Linked DNA regions of Nothobranchius furzeri. The protein of the gene in region 1 binds, or shares a complex with, the protein of each later gene. Links are inferred from orthologs where the notes say so. Each region holds a gene or a part of one and is shown on either strand. Other genes may lie near its edges.

Region 1 (4,580 bases):
CCGTGTCACGGACACCCTGTTGCTGGATGAAGCATCTTATTTGTTGATGATGAAGAGAAATATACAATTAGTTCCTTGTCATTGATTTGTTTACTTATTCAATGCCATTTATACTTGAACATTTGGATTTGATTACATAGTGTAGTAGTTATTTTAGTAATTTGTTTAAAGTTGCTATTTATTTTAAATACATATTTTTTTTAAGGTTGACTTGTACAGTGCTCAAGTCAAGTGTGGACTGGAGTTTTAGATTTTCATTTTGATAATGAAGAAAACAAGTATATGAGAAAACAAGTGGTGTTTATTTGATTTGTTGACATATTGTTTATGTTTCGAATGTTTGGATTTGTATAATTTAAACCTGCACTGACTACTGTAACATGTTCCAGAAAAATAAGCTATTTGTTCTTTACTTGTGAAAAGTTGCACTTTTGCTAAGGCTTTGTGTTATTTTAGGTTTAATAAACACTGTTAAACCTTTTCAGAACTATTTCAGTTTGTGTAGAACAGGACTATCAATGCTTTCTGAACATATGCAACACCGTTTAAAAAATACCGCGATAATACCAAAAACCGTGATAATTTTGGTCACAATAACCGTGAGGTTAAATTTTCATACCGTGACAACCCTAATTTTAACAGTCAACGGTTAACTCCTAGCTTCATGTTAGCTCAGTTAGCTCATAGCTATATCGGTTCAGAGATTGATGGGTGTCAATTATTTGCTCCCACCCTCACAGCTACACACTCAGCTCCAGCTCTTTGCCCATGTTTTTTTTTTTTTTTTTGCATTTGGTGGTGGTGACAAAACAAGTTAAACGGCCAAGATGGCAGTGTGGGAACTGCCCATTTTGTTTCAAACAAGCCCTTAAGAAAAATATAGGTGACATCACAGATGGTTAATTCTTTTTTTTTAAGTCATTGGAATGAACACCAAGCAGCTAAGTAAAAACTGTTACAAAGTGCCTACCCCTGGGAAGAAGGGTGTCAAAATAAATTTTAATTTTTAGTTATGTTGGTTTATAAGAGGGAAACTTTTACCACAGCTTGTCTATGAAGTGGTGTGTTGGTTCTACGTAATGTTTCTACGTTTTCACACAAAAATCAAGCTCTGCTTACCTTTGATTTCACTTCCATGTTCACTTTTCTCTGTGAGCTTTTTGCAGAGTTGTACACTACAAAGTAAAAAAAAAGAGACAAAAATATAGTTACTATGTCTGTTACCTTATATATGGCAATAAAAAGCTGTTTTGCAGCCTAATAAATAAACTTCTAAAAAGGAAGACTACACAAACACACAGAGATCTGTTTAATATAACAAAAAATCCTTTAGTTTCTGCCTTTAATACACCGCCAACCTCTAATAATATATATTCAGTCAAGAAAGGTGAATGAAAAATAGAAGTGCTTAGGTTTTGGGCATATGTGTAATTCAGCTAAGCAGTATAAACCTGTGTACACAGAGGTTTCTTATGTAGTTATTTGATGTTGCTCTAGATTGACTGTAACTTGATGTGAAAGCATTTTTAAATGTTGTAATAACAAGTCAAATATCAGCTTTCCATATAAATTGGTGAGTGGGTAATTGTATTTTTCTTTCAAACACTTTTAACAAAGATAAATGTGATGTTTTATTTCAAAATGAATCATAGCAAACACTATTACACTGGGTGAAGAATGACTGAACAAAATAAAGTCTCCATTATAATACATTTAACAAAACAAAACAAAGTAACTTAGTGATATGTAGTTTCTATGCCAGCTTGTTGATTCTTTGGTTCCTTTAAACCAGTTTTGCTTGAGTCCAAAAATGTTGGTCTTGTCTTACAGATGATCACCAGAACAATGTGATATTACATCTGACCAAATTAATATCAATCTGTTTTATTCAATCGCCTTAACTATATATTATTAACCAGAAGCTACTCAATTTCATTTCTCTGTATAACTCAATTTAATTTCTCTGTAAGTCTTGCACATGTGGTAGAATTGACAATAAAACTGACTTTGACTTTGACAGACACAACCATCATAGTAGTTTGGTAGGTCTAGTGCTTCTAGGCCTGTCTCGATGCAAGGCCTATAGTAACTAGCAGCCAGGAATGTGTGGATCAGCTTACGGTGTGACTGGATATGCTTAATGCTTCTGCTTAATAAAACACATTCAAACACTATTCACGGTTTTTTTTTAGGTAATATCACAGGTCAAACTTTATTATTGAGGCCCAGATGTTGGCCTGGTCTTTACTCAGTCTCCGACGCTAACGCAGACGTTTAATCGATCAGAAATACAAAGTTTGATAAAATCCGATCATCAAACATTGCATCTTTTCATTCCCACGTCCAGTCCAAATACAGAACATTTAACACGTCGCTTCACCCAAAAAAAATCTGCGGCTAACATTACGGCTAACTAGCTGTTACGATCCGTTGTTTCCCTCCACATGATTGGGTCAAAGTTATAAAACATAAAACTATTTTATTGTTTTCAAACCACTCGTGGGTTTGCTATTGCATGGTACCTGAGCGTTAATACGAAGTTTTATCAAGTTTGTAGCTGAAAAAGATCCAAATAACAGATAGATTTTTTACTAGCTTAGCTTCGATAGCCACCGTGTTTACAAATCTAGCCAGACCATTAATATGTAGATAGATAATAACAAGCCAGTTAATGTTAAATGTTACGAATTTTGTAATATGCGTTTGACTAATTACACGCCTAGTAACATTTTTTATTTTTGTTTACTCGACAGTGATAAGCCTCTTGAGCTGTTCGCTAACGTTACTTTGTGCTAGCCATGATTTTAAAGTAAGCTTATTGTTTTTATGTTGCTGCAACCCCTAAACAAACTAAGCACAACATAAAATCTACTTACAACTCGTGTTTTCCCAATTTTTCCCAGTTTTTGATCCATTCACCAGGGAGGGTAAAAGACGCCATCTTCAATATACTCTGCCTGGTGTTGTGCCAAAAAAATTCACCCGTATCGTGAAAAGGACCCAAACAAGGGAAAAACATCACAATCAGTTTCAATCACAAATACATTTATAAGAAGTCACAAACGGGTTAGTGTTGTTTTTCTGCGATTAACAGAACAGTTAACTTACGTTATTTATTTTGCTATTTTTATAAAAGGCTTTAAAATCTCCTGGTCAGAAAAATAACTACCACGAAACACTCTTTTACGTGTATATCGCAGTTATTTTCAAAATAAAAATGTTTTTCATAACAGCAGTGAAAACCAGGAGCCAGTTCATCACTGCTGACCTCAAGTAAAGTTAGTGAATGAAGTGGTTTTCTACGTTTCTTGCTACGGCCATGCTTTCTACAGCAGGGGTGCTTTTTTCGGCACAACACCTAAAGTGTGGTTCATCGTTGTGATGGCACACAGGTTCAAATGTGATGTTAGCTGCCGCTGTTGCTAGCTCGGTGCTACTCGTTGGGATTGTTCAGAGCTGTGTCCACACGAGTTTCCTAAATGGTTTACTATTGCCAGTCATTATTGTTTTATGCTTAAAGTTTAAAAAGGTCAATTTGAAGCGTTTTCTACAAAAACTACTACTTCTGCAAGCAAGAGGGGAAAATGAATGTGTTACTAGCATTTGGCATTTTACAAGATGTGAAAGTGTGTTTTTAAATGACAACATTTTTCTACCTGTCAAAGTCACAAGCTTCAGAGGGTTTATTTGGTTATGTTACATCTTCAGACATAAATACAAATCTTCAAGGATGCAATGGGCACTTTGTAAATAGAAGAGAAACACAAAAAAATTTTAAAATATGTATAAACACAGATGTATGCACGTTTTCAGCAGTTTGGTGAAAACAAAGATCCAAAGTGACTTGAGTAAACATTTGCAGGCATCTAAGATGCATAATTAGTCTAATTTGCCGTACAAGAATACTTTACAGTACTGTAGTAACGTTTATGACCATGTTGGGATTTTCTTTACAGTGACATTTGGAGAAAATTAGGGTTCTGTTATAGCTACAACATGAACATCACCTTCTATAGTCTGAATTATTAGCCAACTAAGGCAGTACACAAAAGAAATTCTAATAAAAATTACAACAATCCAACAAAAACAAGCTACAGTGGATGCATACTTTCAAATTAGTGGGTTAATGTTAAGGTAACATTCAGCTTTTTACTCAACTTATAAAATAATCACCCATTCATAATATATTACACGCTTAATATTTTATAATGAACAATTCTGAGACACAGATAACCAAATGAGTTTGGAATCGAACATGAATCAGTGGGGAAACATTTTCATATAAATCCTATGCAAAACTGAAAAAACAACTTAATTAACCATTTTCAAACCATTTTTTTTAAATAAAAATGTGAACATGGTATGGTTGTGTTACTATTTTAATATACAAAGAGCAATATACTAGAGACAGAGTTTTATGTATGGCATTGTAAATGCTTCCAACAATAAAATATTTTTAGATGCACACTGATTAGTCATGTGACTCTATTTGAGTAATGCATTACCTTTGCACCCATTAATAATAGAAGAAAATAAAAACAGATGACCGCATCTGTAGTAACACCATTCCGTTTTCATTA
Region 2 (4,607 bases), on another chromosome or scaffold:
CGCAACAGACACGTTTTCTCCTGATTTCTGGTCCTACGTGTCTGAACTGACCTGAAACACCAGCTTAGTCGTCTCCTCAATCCATGTAGTCTGGTCATCATTCAGAGCACAGCTTGAGCTGTGTCAAGAAATCAAAAAGCATAAACATGAACTAATTCCATCCCAACAAGTGATATTTGTTTAGTTGCACAAATGTTCACCTTTTGAATTTGACCTGACCCTTCAAGTACTGGAACAGGATCAGGTACTGCACCAGTATGTGTCTCCGGAAGTTGCTGTCGCTGAGCTGCAAGTCCATCAGCTGCAGATTACAAAAAAAAAAAAAATCCCAAAACAATGAAGTTTAACTTTTAAGACAGAAAAACATATGACTTACAGCCATAGTCAGTTAAAAACTGCTTATTTATACATGATTAAAAGATTTTTAATGATTTTTCTGCACCTTTTCGCTCGTGAGAAACTTGGCAAAGTAAACCTGTTCACCATCAGACGCTCGCAGCTCCTCCAACTTCCTCTTTGACGCCTGCATGTCATCCAGTTTGTAGCTTTTGAACACAGCAAGAGTCTCATCGGAGTACTGAGCAAAGCAAAAGCAACACACAAGTTTATTTATTTTTTTATCCTCATCTTGGATATTGACAGTGATCCGTCAAATTGGTCAGAGTTGCTGCACCGAGGTGGATTACCTTAACAAAAGTAATCCATGAGATTTTTTCATAGCACTGCAACGGATTTCTAAAGTAGTCCTGCAATGTCCAGAACTTTCTGTACAGGTTGTAGTCAATCGGAATAGAACTAAGGAACAAAAGGGTACTATTATTTCATGAAGGTGAAAATGTGAGCAAATACAGCAAATGGTTTTCATTCACCACGGTGCCGGGGCGTCATCCTCCCCCATTTCTCCTTCCTCCACTTCCATGCCGTCTTCCTTTTCATCAGCGTGCTGTCAACATAGTAGCAAAAAAACAGATGAAACAGGATGGAAAGGATGAGCTCATTAACCTAATAATTAACCTAACAATACTTCACCTTCTGACCAAGAGTGCTTTCTTGTTCATTTTTATTGAACACGGTTATGTTGTCCAGATTAAACTGGCTTTGTAGATTGAGACCTGGATTAAAACACACACAAAATCTATTTAATTGAGAGGTTTACAATATGATTGTAAAGTGCTTTGATTTTTTTCCCCTTCAAGTTAGAAAAATAACTGACTTTCTTACCGGATTTTTCAGACAGAGGAAAGAGACGTGCCAGGAAAAGCTGGATTCTCCCACAGAATACTGTATTCTGGGATTTCGACAGCCTCCTTAAAAGATCTGTACAGATGAAACAAAAGTCACTTGCACCTGAACTTTCTGAGAATAGAAAGTCTTTTGGATGACAGAGAAAAAGACAAGATTTTTACCGTTACACATTCTCAACAAATAGTTCTTTCCTGCTGTGTAAAAAGAGCTCTGGAAGAAAGAAACAACACAGGTACAATAATGAAACCTTCTAACAAAAACAGAGAAATATTTTTGTTGCCTTTACAAAAAAAAATGCCTGTAATTATACCGATTTCCAGGTAGAGACATTTTCTTCAACAAAAGAGAATATTTTGTCACACAAGTCAAGGGGAAGGCAATCCAGAACGTCTCCCAGCAGGACAAAAGGAGTCGTAGCAGAACAGATACCTGCATTAAAAACAGAATAAATGTTACACTGTCATTTGTTTTAAGAGACGTTTTACCAAAACTTATATCAAAGCGATCCTTTCAACATGTATGTTTAAAATCCAAAATCATCTAATCTAAAATAAATATCCACCTCAGCAGTAGTGATAACATACCCTCAGTAACAGCATTGATGCTCTGGTAGATTAGAGACAGATAGTCATCACAGCATGATTTCTGCTCAAGCTAGAGAGAAACAATCATTAGCGATTCTCACATATTTTCAAATTTAAATTAACTAACTTATTAAACTTACAATCTGGTCACCAAGAACACTCCTCAAAGCCTGATCCAGTGTGGTCTTCTTTTCCGTCTCACTGACAAAAACACACAAGTAGTAAATTTGTATTTCTGGATTATTTTGATCTGGAACCTCGACCCAGGAGCACAACTTACTTGCCGGGGAGTTGGTTAAACACGGCGATTAGGGGTTTGCAGGTTTTACCAGCTAGTGCTTGTGTGCTTGCAGCCTACGGTTGGGTGAGCATGGGAAAGGACATAATGAGAAACAAAAGACGATGCAGAAGTTTGCTTCCGTTTTCAAGCTTCCGATTCGGGAAATGGCTAAGGCCAAGGCCACTCTCAATTTTTATATACGGTGACCATCTTTAATCTGCTTCATCTTAAAAACTACAATACCTAGACAGTTCAAACCTGGACGGGATTATTCTAGACTAATAGCAAATTCCATAAAACAGTTTGTGATTTGTGAAACTTCAAAATCTGCCTATTTTAAGTTTCACAAATCTGAAAAAGGTTTCACAAATCACAAACTATGCTTTATGGAATCTGCTATTAGTCTAGAATATTCCAGTCCCGGTTTGAACTGTCTAGGCATTGTAGTTTTTTTAAATAGAGCAGATTAAAGATGGTCATAGTAAATAAAATTGAGTGCAAATGCTCTTTAGCCAATTTCCAAATCGGAAGCTAACTTCAACCTCGTAAACAACAGGACCGTTCAGAAGCGTTTACTTTAGCTTAGCTTCTTTGGCTAACTACTACACTAGTACAACAAGCACAACCATAAAGTAGTGAAGTTAAGATTTTTTACGGTTTTATCAACAAGTTGTCTTACATACAAATATATTATGGATGGAAATGACAGAAAGAAGCCACTTCTCACCGAAAATTTCTCTTTAGCGTCGACAAAATTAAATGAGGACAGAGACATCTTTACGCTTCTGAAACCGGAACCGCCAACGAATCACTTCCGGTTATGAAGTGGCGTTTTTGTACGTAAAGGGAATTATCTGACAAAATTATACATTAATACATATTATCTATAAACGGAGTTAGGATAAAACTAACTTTGTATTTTTTAATTTAGTTTCAAATAGTTCAGTCAGTCACATTTTTATTTCCATTTTGGATGAAAAATGGAAATAAACCGTAGCATAGCAATCTTGACCACACGATGGCAGTGTTGTACACCATTGTTGCTGTTAAAGTTTTTCATTATTTTTTAATTTGCTTACATTCATCAAACTCTGAGTGGCTGTAAGTGATGGATGCATGGAAACCTTCTTCAAATGGTGAGTTAAAATTAGTATTTCTACTTCCTGAAAATAACAGTATTAATATTTATTTTAATCCTAATTTCCCCACTGTATGGTTTAGTTTGCCTTTTGGCCAGGACTCACTTAAAAAAATCTTACACTTGATTTTTATTTTAAAGAGTCATGTTCCAAACTTTCTTTATAATAATAATTACAACAACAACAACAACAACAATAATAATAATAATAATAATAAGTTGTGTCAGCCATTGAATACTTGTAAAATAACGTCACTCTGTTTATATTGTATGCATTTCAAAGTTATATTTATTTTAACGGAAAGAGCGAAATAATTTTTGTCCTTTCTTGTTAATAAATATTTGACTTTGACAGGTCACAATGCACAGCAGTTGTAATGTGTTTGTTTTGCATGTGTGCCTGTCTTGGTGTGCACTTCCACATGTTCTAATCATGCAAATGAACATTCAGCTATGTGCTGCAGGCCTTGAATCCTTTGATACCATCTGCTTGTCTAACAATGTCCGATTTGACATTAGAATAACCGCTCCATTACCCTGAGACAACAATCATTAAACTAAAGATTTACTCAACCCATGTGAGAACACTGAAGCTTGTTTTGATCCAGGTCAAGACCTCTAGGATTTACATACAAGGATGATCCTTTTCAGCTCCTTTTGATGGGTGTTTGTAACCTTTTTGTGACAGTGTTTTGGTGGCTGTGCTGATGTTAAGAGAAGAACAATGACTTTGTGAAGTGGAGGCGTTTAGTGTCACATGGAAGCAGGAGAGGCTCTATTTCCTTCACGTGTGTGGTTGTAGTGTTCATGAAAAAGGGAAGTGAGGAGTGATTTACTAATACCTATTTTCTCCCATCCCTTATCTTACTCAGAGTTCATCAGATTGTTGCCAAAAACTGATGAAGAGCAGAAAGGGAGTAAGCACGATGAGAAACTTGGAGATTGTGCTGGGAGGCACTCTTAAAAGTGATTTGTGCGTGGTTTGAGGTTGTGATTAGGGCAAGAAGATTGAGAAATCTTCTACATTCTACCTAAAATGGGTGATTTAATTAATTAATTAAATAATTTATTTATTTTGTTCAATTAAACTTCCCTAGATAATTTGTTCAGCTTTTATGCAACGAGTTTTCAAAAATATACCTCCAATTGCACCAAAAAGTAAAATGAACAAATATATTTAGGTTGCATGCTGAGGCTTAGTTCCATGTTTGCGAGGCACGCTCATCCCGCTGTCCGTGCCTGTAACTTCTACAACCTTTGACATAGTTTTGATAAGACACTGGTCCATATAGTCTAACTTTGTGGAAAAGATAAGACGGTCAGACTAGAAAAGGAATGAAATAGGGAAAAATATTTGATT

Evidence for each region.
Region 2: the proteins of thoc2 (region 1) and thoc1 are in contact, whole or in part, in a cryo-EM structure (PDB 7ZNL), measured with the Homo sapiens proteins. The link is inferred for Nothobranchius furzeri from reciprocal best matches to the Homo sapiens genes THOC2 and THOC1. Residues at the interface, in NP_001075019.1 of Homo sapiens: Leu155, Phe156, Tyr157, Lys158, Gln160, Asn163, Leu164, Leu165, Arg166, Asn169, Glu170, Ala173, Lys174, Ile176, Ala177, Gly180, Gln181, Asn195, Lys197, Ser198, Leu199, Ile200, Gly201, Cys202, Phe203, Asn204, Leu205, Pro207, Asn208, Arg209; in NP_005122.2 of Homo sapiens: Asn134, Arg138, Asn141, Leu144, Arg145, Lys149, Thr153, Cys156, Gly157, Gln160, Leu161, Ala164, Arg165, Phe167, Gln242, Phe245, Arg246, Tyr297, Ala299, Lys300, Phe301, Arg319, His320, Leu323, Gln324, Ile327, Tyr331, Arg373, Phe374, Lys376.

What each region holds. Positions count from the first base shown.
Region 1 is NC_091750.1:48,346,593-48,351,172, reverse strand, and holds the start of thoc2 (THO complex subunit 2), read right to left. Parts: upstream 3,010-4,580; 5' UTR 2,942-3,009; coding exon 2,877-2,941; intron 1,176-2,876; coding exon 1,120-1,175; intron 1-1,119. UniProt on the Homo sapiens protein: Component of the THO subcomplex of the TREX complex which is thought to couple mRNA transcription, processing and nuclear export, and which specifically associates with spliced mRNA and not with unspliced pre-mRNA.
Region 2 is NC_091751.1:49,147,825-49,152,431, forward strand, and holds the start of thoc1 (THO complex subunit 1), read right to left. Parts: upstream 2,934-4,607; 5' UTR 2,885-2,933; coding exon 2,837-2,884; intron 2,184-2,836; coding exon 2,110-2,183; intron 2,031-2,109; coding exon 1,970-2,030; intron 1,900-1,969; coding exon 1,830-1,899; intron 1,675-1,829; coding exon 1,556-1,674; intron 1,456-1,555; coding exon 1,407-1,455; intron 1,318-1,406; coding exon 1,222-1,317; intron 1,113-1,221; coding exon 1,030-1,112; intron 944-1,029; coding exon 870-943; intron 796-869; coding exon 687-795; intron 578-686; coding exon 443-577; intron 302-442; coding exon 201-301; intron 119-200; coding exon 52-118; intron 1-51. UniProt on the Homo sapiens protein: Component of the THO subcomplex of the TREX complex which is thought to couple mRNA transcription, processing and nuclear export, and which specifically associates with spliced mRNA and not with unspliced pre-mRNA.